Lytechinus pictus: one gene and its partner. The protein of the gene in region 2 purifies or fractionates together with the protein of the main gene of each other region. This does not show direct contact. Links are inferred from orthologs where the notes say so. Each region holds a gene or a part of one and is shown on either strand. Other genes may lie near its edges.

Region 1 (7,926 bases), on a different chromosome or scaffold from region 2:
TAAAGGATGATTTTGTGGTATTGTTACCACTCCTGACTGATAGAGCAGTCATGGTGTGATTATCCTCAAGCAAATGATAGACGCAGGAATATGGGTGGCGCCCTGTTTATTACCCATTGTTACTACAGATTGTCTATAGTGCCATTATTTTTGTTTTTACAGTGGCCTTGTTATATTTACATGTATATGGCAATATTGTTCAGATATCATTTGCATTAGTGAATGATTTTGTGGTATTGTTTACTACTCCTGTCTAATTGCCTGTATGTAGACCAGTCATGGTGTTATTATCTCCAAGCAATTGACAGCCGCAGGTATAGTGGCATTGTTATATTTACATTGTATGGCAATATTATTCAGACATTATATGCGTTATTTTTGCAATAATTGGATGATTACGCAGGAATAGTGGTATTGTTATATTTACATTTTATATATGGCAATATTGTTCAGATATCATTTGCATTATAAGTGGATGATTTGTTTACCACTCCTTTGTGATTTCCTGTGTGTAGACCAGTCATGGTGGAATTTATATTTATATTGCAAATGCAAATGTTGTTTTGATGCAATGTTATTGTTTATATTGGCATATATTTTGTTTATTATTTATTACAAGTATTGTTATATTGCCATTATCTTCATACATTATTTTGTTTTGGCATTGTTATTGCAATTTATCATCCTTTTTAGGGGGCAAAATTATGATTTTGTGATATTGTTAACACTCCTGTCTGATTGCCTGTGTGTAGAGTAGTCATGGTGTGATTTATCCCTAAGCAATCGATGATGCAGGGAACATGGGAGGCGCTCGGTTTGGGAAACTTTTTAGCCCCTGTCATTTGTCAGTTTACTGGCAAGTGACAGGGGCTGATTGCGACTCAGACCGGGCGTTCCTGCGTCATCTTTTGCTTGGAGATATAATCACTACATGACTTGTCTATACACAAGCAATCAGACAGGAGTGGTAACAATGTAACGAAGAGCCATCTTTATCTTGTTATTACACTATATTATGTTATTTATATTATTTCCCTATTGAAGTGTATATTATTTGATTATTAATATATATTAATTTTTATGCCCCTTATAAACTGTGTCTTGTGTCTTTATTTGTTAAAGGTGTATCATAATCATGAATGAAGATGAAAGCAAGAAATTCCTGATAATTTGTTAGTGAATTAAACTTGCATGAGAGAGGGGGGGGGGGTTATTGTTTGAGGTATATCTGTATAGTCAGAATTATGGGATTAAGAGTTGGCGTATTGTAGTGAGAGATATTCAGGGGTGAAAGTTGTCAGCACTGAGTAAACTGTCAGTGCTGACAATTTCAGTGAAATTCTCGGTTTTGATTAGCTGAGAGCACTGGCCTCTGTTACTATGGTAACTGTCGGAGAAAGTCATTTTTTTCAGAGCTGACAACTTTCATAAAGCGGTCCTCTGATTTTCATTATGTAGGTCATTGTTCCACTCATACGTAATAGGAGCATACATACACAGAGGAAATGGAACTTTTAATCTCAAGATGATGATAAGGTAAATTCCGAATTTGTCTATTGCCACTCATCACAAGGTCTACCTTCATTTAGTCTAATACCATCCTGTCCATTAACATTTCGTCAAATAACCATTTGGTCCCGTAATCACTTTGTCTAATCGCCAGAATTGGTCTATGACCATTTCGTCTCATAACCAGTTGGTCTATTTTTTTTTCATTCGTTTCGCCCAATAAATACTTGGTCCAATTAGACCAAATGTTATATGAACTAAATGGGTATTAGATGAAATGGCAATTGGACCATGTGGATAGTGGATAAACTGATGGTAGATTAGTTTGTAATTGGACGAATCAGCATTAGACCAATGTAAATTAAACGTATGATTGTGTTTTTTGTCCATCATGATTCACATAACATAACGCAAGGAAGAAATGATTGAAAGAATTTGTTGAAACTTATAATTATGACAAGATAATTTTGGTGTGCCTGCAGAAAAGCATGAATTGTTCACAATTATGCACTGTATTGTGGGATAGATTAATTTTCAAAAAGTCAATTTTCAAATCTCAAAAGTATTGGCATACAAAACACTGAGCAGATTGACTTGATTATTCTGAAAGAAAAAGCACACAAAATGAATTTTAATTGTTTTTTCATATTAATGTCTGCAAAGGCGACATATTTATTTTTTATCAGCTTGAATTATATTACATTGTCCAATTTCTCTTTCTGCTGTGTGTCACATGCCTCTATAGGTCAGACTAGTCATGTTTAACAATGATAATTATGATGGTGGAATATTTTAAAGCAGTCAGAAAAACAGTAATAGATATACCCAGGCCTTAACACAGATTTAAACTATGCTTCAATTTAATGAGAGCGCGAAATTTGTTGATATTATGGAAATCCCAACTGGAACCAGTTGGGCAACTGGAAATCCTAACTGGAACCAGTTGGGTAACTGGAAATGATTTCCAATTGGTTTCCAATTGGAAATTTTCCAGTTACCCAACTGGATCCAATTGAAACCAGTTAATTTGCATATTATCTGCCAGTGTGCACAGATTAATGTTTTATGAGATTCATCATCATTAACAATGTATCTATTTTTCTCTTTTCAATTACAAGTACCACACTTTTTAAAGATAAGTATTTAGAATACTTTGCAGTGAAAACCATGTTCATAAATGTTATAGATTATAATTAAAACAGATTAAAGGATAATTAGTACACCACTAACTGTTACCAAATTACATCAAATGAAAATACATATATTTGAAGATCTTCCATATAAATATATGTACATATGAAAGTCTGTATTTTATCAATGCCCTTTACATTGGTATTAATAGACATATAACACTGCTTCTGTGTTGGCATGAGCAATAGTTAGTGCAAATGCTAATTAATTTGTAACTAATCAAGTTCATTCCAACTGGAAGTTCCAATTGGTTCCAGTTGGAAACCAATTGGTTTCAACTGGTTCCAGTTCAGTGAAACCAGTTGCCTCCAATTGGTTTCAACTGGAACCAATTGAAACCAGTTGCCTCCAATTGGATTCAACTGGTTTTAATAGGGAAATTGGAACAACTGGAACCAATTGACACAAATTGCCAACTGGTTCCAGTTGCTCAATTGGTTTTAACTGGAACCAATTGGCAACTGGTTTTCAATTGGAACCAATTGGTTTTAACTGGAACCAATTGGCAACTGGTTTTCAATTGGAACCAGTTGTTCCAATTTCCCTATTGAAACCAGTTGGCCAACTGGTTTCAATTGGTTTTACCCTAATTGGTTTTAACTGGATTTTGGTCCTGGGATAAGGTCTGAAAACTGGAACTTTTAGAATTTTTAAGTATTGTCTTACGGCCAAGGAAACCTGTGCAGGAGAATATCTTTCATTGCACGCGCAGTTGCGGTATAGCGTGGTTTGCGTGCGTGTGAACCAACAGAATGCGATGCCACTGCGTTTGTTTTATAATTCTGAGAATGAAACCGCTATTACTTGCACTCTAAAAACATTTTACTCAATATTGGGTAGAAAGGGTACATGCATGTTTGCTGGGTATTTTTTTTTTACCCATTTGCAGAAAACTTTTGCCATAGAAAACTCTGGGAAATAAACAAAAACTCTGGCAAACAATTAAAATTATGCCTTTGAAACTTATACATTAAAAAACTTTGGCAAAAAATTGCCAGAGTTTTTTATGGCAAAAAAATTATGCAACGGGTCCATGGGTTCATATTGGGCTATTTCAGAGCAACATTGCATAATTTTTTTTTTATCCAACCAACATGCATGTTCCCATTTTACCCAATATCGGGTAAACCCTTTTTTAAAGTGTGACTTCTCTCTTATTAATTTTGGTTGCCTGAAAGAAAAAAATGTAGGTCTATATGATAAACCATGCACACACAATGTTAGGCATATTAAAGGTCAAGTCCATGCACCCAGGAAAATATTGATTTGAATAAATAGAAAAAAAATCAAACTATATAGCATAACGCTGAAAATTCCATCAAAATCGGACGCAAAATAAGAAAGTTATGACATTTATAAAGTTTCACTTATAGACAAAACAATTATGCACAACTCAGTAACGTGCAAATGATACTGTCGATGATGTCCTTCACTCACTATTTCTTTTGTTTTATTGTTTGAATTATACAATATTTCATTTTTTTTTTGTTTGACAAAAAGGACCAACTTTTTGTTAGGGTGGACTTGTCGTTTAACTATATATGTGGATTTTTTATTGTAAAATTTGCCTGGATTTTAATCAGTAATCTAGGAATAGGAGTCTAAATTTGTGATCTTGTGAAAGCGAAACCCCACCCCTAACTGTGAGAAGGGCTACTCCGACTCCACCCCTATAACTACTACCCCGCCCCTCTAGCTCTCGGCCCCGACCTCAATCGTAGTACGGGTCAACCGGTATTTTTATACAACGTGTACGTGTACCGGCCGTACTTCCGTTGCGTGATAAACAATCGAGCCACGGTGGACAATCGGATTCGGAGCTGACAAGCAAGGATAAACTTAAGTAAAAAATGGAGAAACTTTACCATGAAACAAATAAGTGAGTTAATTGCATCGAGACTAGATATATATGACCTAAAATTTTATGTGGGATATATGTCCGTAGACGATACAACTTATAAAAAGTGATTTCTCGATTGGTGTTCGAACCGAACATCTGGAAGTGGAACTATAGTATGAATAGTCCCACGTGTAAATAATGGTGTGACGGCCTACCCTTTTTAAAAAAGTTTTTCGACAACACCCGGACAAGTTAGATCTAACGTTAGTCATATCTTTATCCACCAACCACGGAGTTAGTTCCAATCTTTCTAAACCTGTTTCACGAAGGGCTTCCTAACTAGAATCCCTTGATATTGATAATATCAGTAGAAAGAGCAGACGAGACGTAGCCAGGGAGGCAGCCACTCACACAACATGCGAGGTACTAACCTTGCACAACACATGTGATTTCATAGTGCATTTTGACGTTTTCATTCATCACACGAATGTGAGGGACTAAACTACGCCAAGCCTTTCAATATTTGTCCACTATGTTAATCTTGATCGTATGATTTAAGTATAGGCCTATTTGAAAAAGGAATTATAAATTATTTATTAAGGTGTTTTTATCGCTTACCTCCAAATCTCAACCAGGATACTTCGTTCGATCCGTCCTTGGTCATCCTCATACTGCGGTGGAAATTACGCAAACAACAATCGAAATGCGAAATTTTCCTATCGAACATTCTCGATTCAAGTAGTAGGGGAGGGAGAAAGGAAAGAAAAGAAGGGAAAGGAAAAAGCGAGAAAGGGAACGGAGGGGGCGGGAAAGGAAAGGAGAGACAAGAAAAGACAGATCAGGGGAGGGGGAAAGGTAAAGGAGAGAGAGGGAAAAGGAGACCATAAAATAGAAAGAAAACAAAAGAAAGGAAGAGGGGAAGGGAGAGGGAAAGAAAAATGGAAAGAGCGAGAAAAGAGTAGGGGAGGGAGAAAGGAAATAAAAGAAGGGAAAGGAAAAGCGAAAAAGGGAAGGGAAAGGGAGAGAAGAAAAGAAGGGAGAACGAAAATGGGGAAAGGGAGAAGGAGAGGGGATGATGAAGGGGATAGGAAAATGTCAAGTTTGAAGATCTGAATATTAACACTAAAACAAAATTAGACTCCCATGTTTTATTTATAAAAATACCATCTTTTTCATGATTATAAAGGTTCAACGTCCCTGTTCTAGGTCTAAACTTTAACATAAATCTACTGGCGCTTCGCGCTTGAATTCTGGAGGTCATTCCTCTTTTAAAAGTATAGGTAATCTGTCGGACTTTTCAAATCCCAAATTTAAATCTTAAGCGCAAATGCCCTCGCATTATTTTTCATTTAGATACAAGTCCTGTCATCAATATAAAAAACTCTAAGCGCGAGCTTCACGCTGGCATCATTTTTGTAAGTGACATTTATGATGTTGTTCATATTTTAAAAATGTCCATTTGTTGAGGTTTAAATGTCCAAAAGTTCAGCGCTCGCATAATTTGTAAGGTAAATAGGCCTACCCTTTTAATTGTTATACAAAGGCGCTTATACAACGTCCAGAATGCAGTTCGGAATATTGAAAATAACTATTGGTCCCGCTATTTCTGCCCTTGCGACAAGCATTTATCATTTTGAATCATGAGATTCACCTTTAAAATATGATGAAAAAGTATCGTTAAGACTGAATTAAGAAAAAAAGAAGCTCACGTTTCACGCTCGCATTTTGATCCGTTAGCTTGTGATAATGATGGTGACTTCGTTAATATATCTTAGCGGACATGTCTACCTTTTGGTGCTTCAAGAAAAATAAACACAACACACAAATAATAGAAAACGAACAAGAATAGAATAGATAGTTACCTATTCCACTCATGAATTCTTATTTAACAGTCCCCAAAACGTTTTTTTTTCGTGTTAGCTTATTTCATATACATATATATATATATATATATATATATATATATAAACCTTGATTTAAGCTACGCCTACCATTGTTCTCTTCATCCATTTCTTTCACACAATATATATATATATATATAGGTCTCCTCATCATGGTTATAAAAAGTGCTCAGAATGTTTTATTTTCAAGTCCTTGTATCAGAATTTTCAGCTCGGGCAGCTCTATCGCACTTTGATTACTATCCTGTTGATTTATTTACTTGAACAAAATATTTAAAATGTCCAGCCTTTAGAACAGATATCAAAAAAAGGTATTCACCTTTGATCATAGATGAGGAAGAAGAAAAAAGTGCAAAAAAATAGGAAACAAACTAACGAATTAATGTGACATAATTTTTCTTCATTTCAAGGCGACTCTTTACATTTCATCATCGCTGATGGCGCTACAATCGCTTGACAGCAAAAAAAAGCACAGAAAGAGGAAAATAATGCTGAGCGTCTAAAATGCAGCTAGCAGTACAAGCTGCAGAACCGTAAACAAACATCTTGTGAATAATATCGCGCGCCCTCTTTAAGCAAAAGTTTACAACCACGATGACCCTGCGGTATCTACGTGAAGATCACGAGAAAATGCTTTTTTTTTCTTAAAAACACACCAAAGAGAAGACAAGAAACGATCCATATGGTTCGGTAAGTGTCATAGCACAATTAGAAACATTATTTTAAAAGGAATGGCATAGTTATTTTAGTAAAAAGGGTGTGAAAAATTCGCGTGCACCATGTGCATATGAATCCTTCGCACGCGAAGGGCTGATGATGTCACATCCCCACTTGTTCTTTTGTATTTTATTATATGAAATTAGGTTTATTCAAATTTTTTTCTCCAAGAACGAGAAAACTTGGATCTACTACTGATTCAGTGCATTACATATTTATTGCTGCAACTTATTTCATTATAAGGGAGACATTTTATTCACACAAGTATGAAATAATGAAAAAAATATTATTTTATGTAATAACATGAGAAAATGGAAAGTGGGGATGTGACATCACCTAATGAATCTTCATGATGACTGTTTTCACAAAATATTGCTAAAATTTAAACTTCAATAACTTTATTATTTGTTATCCGATTTTGATGTACATTTCGGTATTTTGCTCAGTGAATTCTACTCTATGTATTAAGATATAAATATTTTCAGCCTGGACCATCCCTTTAAGAGCCAAATTATATGATGATTTATAGCTGTAATGGAATCCGACAGTGTCAAACAATTAAGCATTTGCTCCAAAGGAAAAGAGAAAATAAGCCAAACATTGCCAACCTTATTTTGCCACATATGGAGTACTAAGTGAAAACAAGGTTATATCATAACCTTGTTCATTGAATGAGTGAACCGGGGGGGGGGGGGGGGGGGGGGGGCACTCAGTATATAATGCATAGTAGGTATGAGCCACGGAGGGGATCCCCATTTTCACACTCAA
Region 2 (8,426 bases):
TGATGAATTTTCATAAAATAACCAACATATGACGAACCAGAGACAACAATAAAATCGATAACTGTAAACTTTTGCAAGTTCTGCGGTAATTTTCTTGCTATCCCAATTAACATTCCAAACGAACTGGCCTCCTGACTGTGTGTGGCAGGCTATACTAGCTAGGCATGTAGGATCAGAGCAGATTCTAAATGGTGCAAAAAATCTCACATGTTAAACAGTTTTACACCAAAATAAACACGGAATCGGCGGGAAATATTTATAATTATACTATGGATTCTCAGATTACTGATTTGGAGATGTAATCGGAGGAACAAGTTATTGAGTTTATATAACTAGATCTAGTTGTTTCAGCTTTCATTTTGAGTCTTTTTGTGATCGCTGCGACCTTGTAATGGGATGGGAGTGATGCCTGTGTATGGCCGCGATGTTTCATCTATTTTTTAAGTTTGACAATGTTTCACTTTGAAATTTTATTCATTTCTAAAACATTTTACTTTTTTTATTTGAAATATATAAAAAAAAAAAAAAAAAAATCCTTCTCCCTTCCTCTCCTTTTTCTTTTCCTTCTTTCTCTCCTTCCATTATTTTCTTTTTTCATACTATTCTCCCTCTTTTTCATCCTTTCTTTCATTCTTTATTTTATTTTTCCTTCTAATTCTTTTCCATTATTCTTTCTTTCCCTTCCTTTCTTCCTTTCTTCCTTCCTCCATTCCTGTTTTTCTTCTTTCTTTTTTTCTTTCAAAGAATGAAGGAAACCGTTTTATTTCTTTCATTCTTTCTTTCCTCCTCCTTTTTTCTTACTTTTTTTTTCCTTTCTCTCCTTTACTTTTTCTTTCACACATTTATTCATCTTTCCTTCATTTCTTTTTCTTTTTCTTTCTATCTATATTCATTTCAAAGAATGATGGAAACCTTTTTTCTCTCTTTTATTCTTTCTTCCATTCTTCTTTTATTCTAACCTTTCTTTTAAATTTTCTCCATTTCCCCCTTCATTTTGTTTTTCTTCTCAATTCATCTCTTTTCTTTCGTCTTTTCTTTCTCCCCTTCATTCTTTTGTTCACCCTCCCTTCCAATTCTTTATATTTTTTTCACAAGTGAAGTCTAACACTGTGTAGCCTTCTTTGTTCATCTTTTTTTTAACAAAGCAGGCCTCTACAAAAAAGAATTTCATCACTTGCCCATGTCGGGCAAGTGATAAAAAATTTGCTTGCCCGATAGAAAAAACTGCTTGCCCGATATTTTTCAAAAATTCTTTAGCTCTTAATTATTCTTTTCTGTCCTGGTTGAACTTGATTTACTGGCGCTGGCCTCGGCATTTCTTTTTCTTGACTCTTGTTCAAGTTGTTCTGGTCGCCGATCGCGACAACAAAAGTCACCTATTTTAGTCTGACGACTCATTGTTTATTTGGTTTGAAGTTGATGCCGAGTCCTGGCCGAGTCAGTCCGAAGCTTGCATGCATTCAGCGCGATCTAGCTCGAGAGTCGGCTGGCTCGCGATCGCTCGTGTACGTACGTACATGTACTGTAGCGCCGATGTATTAGAGCATGCGCTAAGAGGGCGAGAGAGGGGTTTCCCCAGCTAGCTCCTTCGTCAATTAGTAGCGCATGCGCACAGTATAGTTTAGAAATAAAGATGGCAGCCCCCATCGAACAGGACCGCTGGCGATAAATTTTCGGTAAATTGGCGCTGATTTGACATGTTCCCACTGTTTTTTTACTGGTATGACATTTTGTATGACTATGAGAGATAATTGGCCGATAATTGCAATTTATCGAAAAATTATTAAAATTTACTGTAATATCGTTTTCATTTTCAAAACAACCACTTGCCCGATCGGGCAATTGACTTTGATAAATGCTTGCCCGCAGGTCATTTTCACTTCCCCCAGGCAAGCGGTTTTGTCGCGCCCTGTTAAAGGTCAAGTCCACCCCAGAAAAATGTTGATTTGAATAAATAGAGAAAAATCAAACTAGCATAATGCTGAAAATTTCATCAAAATCGGATGTAGAATAAGAAAGTTATGGAATTTTAAAGTTTCCTTTATTTTTCACAGAACAGTGATAATTGATATGCACAACTCAGTGACATGCAGATGAGTCGGTCGATGATGTCAATCACTCACTTTTTATTTTGTTTTTATTGTTTGAATTATACAATATTTCATATTTTACAGATTTCACAATAAGGGCCAACTTGACTGAACCATTAAACAATGCTAATTCCACATGTTCAGGGAGGAATTAATCGTTGTTTCACTTGACAATGAGGGGAAAATTAGAATATTTCATATTTCAAATAATAAAATACAAAAGAAATAGTGAGTAGATGACGTCATCAGTCTCCTCATTTGCATTCCGACCAGGATGTGCATACATGTATAACTGTTTTGTGAAATTAAGCGAAACTTTAAAATGTCATAACTTTCTTATGTTAAATCTGATTTTGAAGAAATTTTCAGTGTTATGCTTGTTGGATTTTTCTCTTTTTATTAAAATCAACTTTTTGTTGGGGTGGACTTGTCCTTTAAGACCTGGCTCGGTCCACCCGCTCGTGCAGCGTGCTTTGTCGATTGTCCCGTATTTCATTTTGTGAAATCTGGTCACCCTGACAGAGACAGAAGTTCTATATACCTAGGCTACTTCTAACTTGATCTGCAACGTTACAGGAACTCTGGCCATATTAAGTTCGGACAAACCAAGAAAGTGGGAGTTGCGCGACAGCCGAAGTAAATCACTGTTTTTGTCCTTTTAAGTTTATTTTTTTCCCGTTTTGGTGCATTTCAGGCCAAAACAGAAAAATAATCTTTATTTTGGTCCAGTTGAATTCTTCTTATTTCTTATATTTTTTAATGAAATAAAGACAAAATATAACTAGGGCCCAAGTAAAAAATCGATGAGCACATTGATCGGGGGGATTTTGCATTGTTAACCTGCATGATCCGAGCCGTCTGCATATGACTCATTATGAGAAATTTTTAAAAATGTTTAAAAGACTCCTCGAAACAGACGTCTGCCAGCTGTCTACATACACACGAACCATCGCCTGAGGTGCCCGCCGGCCAGCGCCCACTGCGCTGCCGCCGCGCCACGGCTCAGTTGTGGCGCATTGCCACATCAGACACAGCCAGGACAGATCAGTCACTGCGCATCAGCTCAGTCTCCGACTCAAGTGTCCACGGCTCAAACAAAGCTCTACAAAACTTAAAACCTCACTGTCAAGTGTCAGCCAACACATCAATCTATAATATTAGTCAAGAGCTACAATATTATACCGATTGTATAGTTCTACTTACAAACATCCGCCTCCTGGCTGCAATCAAAATACGAAATTCCCTTTTATTTTCGCCAACCAAATTGAATAACACGTAGCAGAAATAATTGAACGTAGCCGATTATTTATTACCAGTAATACCGTACTATAGCAAAGTTATACATAATCGGGGAAAAAAACTTGAACATAGTAGACAAGAATTCCTATTTTTTCCCTCTCTCCTCACCAGCAATCCATTTGTTGATTCAATTATGCAGATAATTTGATTGTTTCTGATACTATTATTAACCGAAAATTGGGTGTTTGAAAATGTCCTCTCCTAATTCTGTATTTTTATGTATAACAGTTCGATCTAGTTAGAAATTAATTAATAATGTTTTGTCTACAAAGCTAACACTTGTAACTGAAAAAAGGGGACGTCCCTGTTAAAAACCCTTTTTAATTTTTCTTTGAGAAAGTGACATTCGACTGACTTTTCATAATTCTTGATACATGTGAAGATGCTCACATGTGATGTCAAAAATAAAAAATTAAAATGCTCATAGAATTTAAGGGTAAAAGAAAGTAGTTGAAGCAAACAATTATTTAATGAAAAAGTCTGAAGGTTAATTGTTAAAATATTACCTTATCATACATCGAGATCTGGTACATTGATATAACTTATCTTTGTGAAATCATGAAGTTTTAGCTGAAAACCGATAATTTTTACCATCAAGCCATAACAGTGTATTAATATTGCTTGGAAAAATAACTGACATTTTATGAAATTCCATGCTTATTTTGCTCATTTCTCAGCCAGGGGCGGATCCAGCTTTTTATAAAGGGGGGGTTGGGGTGGTATGCGAGGGAGCGTAGCGACCGAGTCCAAGCGAGCGGAGCGAGCGAGGGGGGAGGGTGTGGGAGGGGGGTGTCCCCCCTCCCACAGTAGGGAAAATTTTTGAAAATCTGTGTGTGAAAATGGCGTTTTCTAAAATTACAAGTTTAAAAAAAAAGATAAGATTTAAAAAAATGGTCCCCGGATTTTTTTTTTTTTGGGGGGGTTGCAACCCCCCCAACCCCCCCTCTAGATCCGCTTCTGTCAGCAATTACGCATTTTCTTCCAGAGATATTTGGAACATCTTTTTTCATTATAGGACCTACATACAAACACTTTGGTGATAATTTTATTGGATTCTGTTCGAACTGATTTTGAGATCGTTACCACAACTGGTATTCATCTCTAAATCTCTGATGGATTTTCCTCAAACCTCCAACAATATTTTCTGTTGTGCTTTGTGTTATTTTTACAATAAAATTTTTGTCAGGGTGAACTTCCCCTTTAAAGTGTCCACTTTGCCCACACGCATCCACTTATTTTAGTTATACCGAGGTTTTTTACCTGACTGCTAAGAAAGCATGAATGCCTGTGAGCAAGCAACCAGGGGACCAATGGCTTAAGGTCCTCTCCGAGGGACTTGGTAATGAGGATAAATGCCTTACCAAAGGGCACTAGCGCACCACTTGGGAATCGAACCCGGGTCACCAAAATTCGAAACCCCCGCTCTACCGACTGAGCTATCGCGCCATGTAGTTCATGTTCCTATGTTGCCAAATCCATTTCTGTCCAAAGCGTCCTCTCCAAAAAATGAATCGATGGAATATGTAATTAAAAGATTTATCTCCTATAACTAGAGAAATAATTGTGTGACCTTTTGCTTCACAATTTAAATATTATTTTACAGAGCAACCTGCAAAGAAAATGATTGAAATACAAGTTTACTTTTCTATATATTACCTTTAGCAGGCATTTTAGGGCCAAAATTACTCTCATTTAGTTTAATTTTCCCTTATTTCGAGCCTGCACATTCTATTTTTAGAAATAATCAGGCATTGTTTTGCCAATCAAACCTTATTCAAAAATGAAAAATGAAATTCCCCCAAAGATGTTGAAATTTTTTGGTGACTATTAACCAAAAATGGGGTGCAAATTCTATCCAAAAATGTTTTCTAGCTCTGAATTAGATATTTTTACACATAGTCATGAATCAATTACGAATGCTTTTGTCTATGCAGTGAAACCTGTCATAGTGACACCCAAGGGAAACACAAAATGTGGCCTTTATGGACAGGAGGTTGCTATAGACAGATAACAGGTTCTCATAAACACAATCTGCCTTCAAGGGAATAAGCAGGGGGTTGCTATAGAGAGGTTCTTATAATAAACACAATCTGCCTAAAGGGAATCAGTTTTAGTGGTCACTATAGGCAGGGGGTTGCTATAGACAGTTTCTTATACACACAATTGCTTTCAAGGTAATAAGCAGGGGGTTGCTATAGACAGGTTCTTATACAATTGCTTTCAAGGTAATAAGCAGGGGTTGCAATAGACAGGTTCTTATACACACAATTGCCTTCGAATCAGTTTTAGTGGTCACTATAAGCAGGGGGTTGCTATAGACAGGTTCTTATACACACAATCTGCCTTCAAGGGAATAAGCAGGGGGTTGCTAGAGAGAGATTCTTACATACACAATCTGCCTCCAAGGGAATCAGTTTTAGTGGTCACTATAAGCACGGGTTGCTGTAGACAGGTTCTTATACACACAATTGTCTCTAAGGGAATCAGTTTTAGTGGTCACTATAAGCAGGGGTTGCTATAGATAGGTTCTTATACACACAATATGCCTTCAAGGGAATAAGCAGGGGATTGCTATAGACGGGTTCTTACACCCACAATCTGCCTCTATGGGAACTGGCTTTAGTGGACACTCTAGTCATCAGGCAGGTGGCTGCTATAGACAGGTGGCCACTAATGCAGGTTTGGCTGTTTATACAACAAACTTAGAATGTTGCCCACATCCACTTACTTCTCAAAAAAAAAAAAAAAGCAAATGTCAGCACATGAAATTACATGACTGAATCTTTATAGAAATAATATGCCTCAAAATTTCAAAGAAATATCATTTCACTTGTTTATAACACACACATGCACAAAAGAAAATCAAATGCGACAGTTGGGTTACCTTGATTGTAAAATTACCCATCACTCACTTTCATTCATGTTGGATTGATTTCGGGCTAGATTTTTTCCTTAATTTTTTTTTCATTAAAAAAACTAATTAAATACCATCTGAATGACACTTATAAATGTTGAATTAAAACATGCCAACCAAGATGACTGTAGTCTCAACAAAAAGTCATGTAAAACAGTATTATTATTATACATATACCTACATTTATTTTATTCTTTCATTTTCACACACTGGAATCAATAATTTTCAAGTATCTAATGTTATATTCATAAGTTATCATTAGTTATTCAATACAGGCAATTCCATTATAGTGCACAGTAGACACAATGCTCATCCACAGTAGCATACAAATACTGAGAGTTGTTTATCACCGTGGGGCGATGTACTTTGAAATGTATCATAACCAAATCAGGAATAAAATGTATACTTTAAAAAGCCTTGTGTGTATGGTGCATAGAAAGGGTATATATTTCATCCTAACATGAAAACATATATTTTAGACATTATTTAGGCTAACGAAAGCATGACAAAATACATGATTTGGGTACTTTGAAAATCAAAGTAAGATTATTTATGGTACTTTTTTAAAATGCATATATATCTTGTAATTATAATAGCACCTAGTCCCCTCCCCTCCCCTGTAAACGTGCATAAAAAGTAAATTCTATGATTTTCATATGTATATATGCTTTAACTTAAAAGTAGTTTGTCATCATCATCATCACCATCACTATAACCACCAACACCATCATCATCATCATCATCACCACCACCACCATCATCATCATTATCATAATCATCATAACACTTTTTTACTAGAAGGACATTCAAGTGTGTCTAGAAAGAGGGAGCACAACTCCCCGTCTCCTTGCATATTGTGAAATGTGACATTGATCTTAATTCTAGAACTAGAAAAACCAATTAAAGTTTCTATGGAAAATTCGTCAGTGATTTTACAAACTGGCTCAAACCTCAGCTGGTCTCCAAAACATGATTTCCAGATAATTGCATTCAAAGTTTCGATGTTTTTCAGAAGCTCATAACTTTGCGCTTTGAAAGAAACCAGATCAATTATTTATAACAATTTAAAGCATACAGTCTATTCTTTTGTAATATACAAAATTTTGTTTGCAATTCTTATTTATTCTTTCAATATTTAAAAAGGAAGCGCTTGTATGCATTTCAGGAGCTGCTAATTCTTACCCAAAACAGGGGGTTTGAGCCAGTTCGTAAAATAACGCGCACCATGCCCACTGCTGTTTAGCGGCACAAACCACGGTTTGAGCCAGCTTGTAAAATCATTCATGCCATGCGTATGTTTTTTTTAGAGGCACAAACCCTGCGCAAAGCACATACGCACCGGCATAAGCGCCGCATCTAGGTCGGTCTTTGACCTGTGCGCACCATTCCAGAGACTTTATAGTACACAAAGAATGGTTTGAGCAAGTTCATAAAATCAAAGGAGGTTGAGCCGGTACGTACAAATATTAAATATGCCCTTTTTTTTAAATAATACAAATTTTTATCTGAAATTTGGCAAATCAATAGATTAAATCACAGGCTTTCAGAATATGCAAAAAAATAAATTTCAAAAATTTGGCCGAAATTAGGTTTGCGCCAGTTCGTAAAATCACTGACGAAATGTACTTTCAGTGGTTTTTGTAAGACATATCTGACAGCAGGTCATTGATTAACTACAGAAATAAAATTCAAATTTCCTTATCTAATAATTAAATTAAATAATAAAATTTAAATCAATATGAAATGCAAGTAGATTAAGAAAGAATACATGTAATAAACAATGGTGACATGAAAATAAAAAAGAATTACCATTTCACAATAAAGCATTCTGATCCCTGAATGGAGACTTTGTGATCATTTTTTTTCTGCAGCTATGATAAGTAATGAAGATGATTATAATTCATTCATTGTCTTTGGCTGTTCTATAATTGAAGACTCTGAAAGATCCATCATAAATCACATGTAAGATGGAATCTGTGTTGGGTTGTTATCCATTTCAGATTTGAAGAGTCAATGGGTTCTTCCAAAGATTTCTCAGAGTAGACCACTTCTCCTGTAGCATCAACGGTTATCACTGTACTAGACCTGACAGATACAATGTGATAATAATACAAAAACACAAT

What was found.
Region 1: the proteins of BET1 homolog (region 2) and Golgi SNAP receptor complex member 2-like purify together in Homo sapiens (affinity purification with mass spectrometry; 3 studies listed by BioGRID and IntAct, with this or other methods). This does not show direct contact. The link is inferred for Lytechinus pictus from reciprocal best matches to the Homo sapiens genes BET1 and GOSR2.

The regions. Positions count from the first base shown.
Region 1 is NC_087245.1:13,004,743-13,012,668, forward strand, and holds the start of Golgi SNAP receptor complex member 2-like, read left to right. Parts: upstream 1-4,469; 5' UTR 4,470-4,550; coding exon 4,551-4,579; intron 4,580-7,926. UniProt on the Homo sapiens protein: Involved in transport of proteins from the cis/medial-Golgi to the trans-Golgi network.
Region 2 is NC_087246.1:2,291,573-2,299,998, forward strand, and holds the start of BET1 homolog, read right to left. Parts: upstream 3,395-8,426; 5' UTR 3,294-3,394; intron 1-3,293. Other genes in the region: transport and Golgi organization protein 2 homolog, read right to left, coding at 8,253-8,388. UniProt on the Homo sapiens protein: Required for vesicular transport from the ER to the Golgi complex. Functions as a SNARE involved in the docking process of ER-derived vesicles with the cis-Golgi membrane.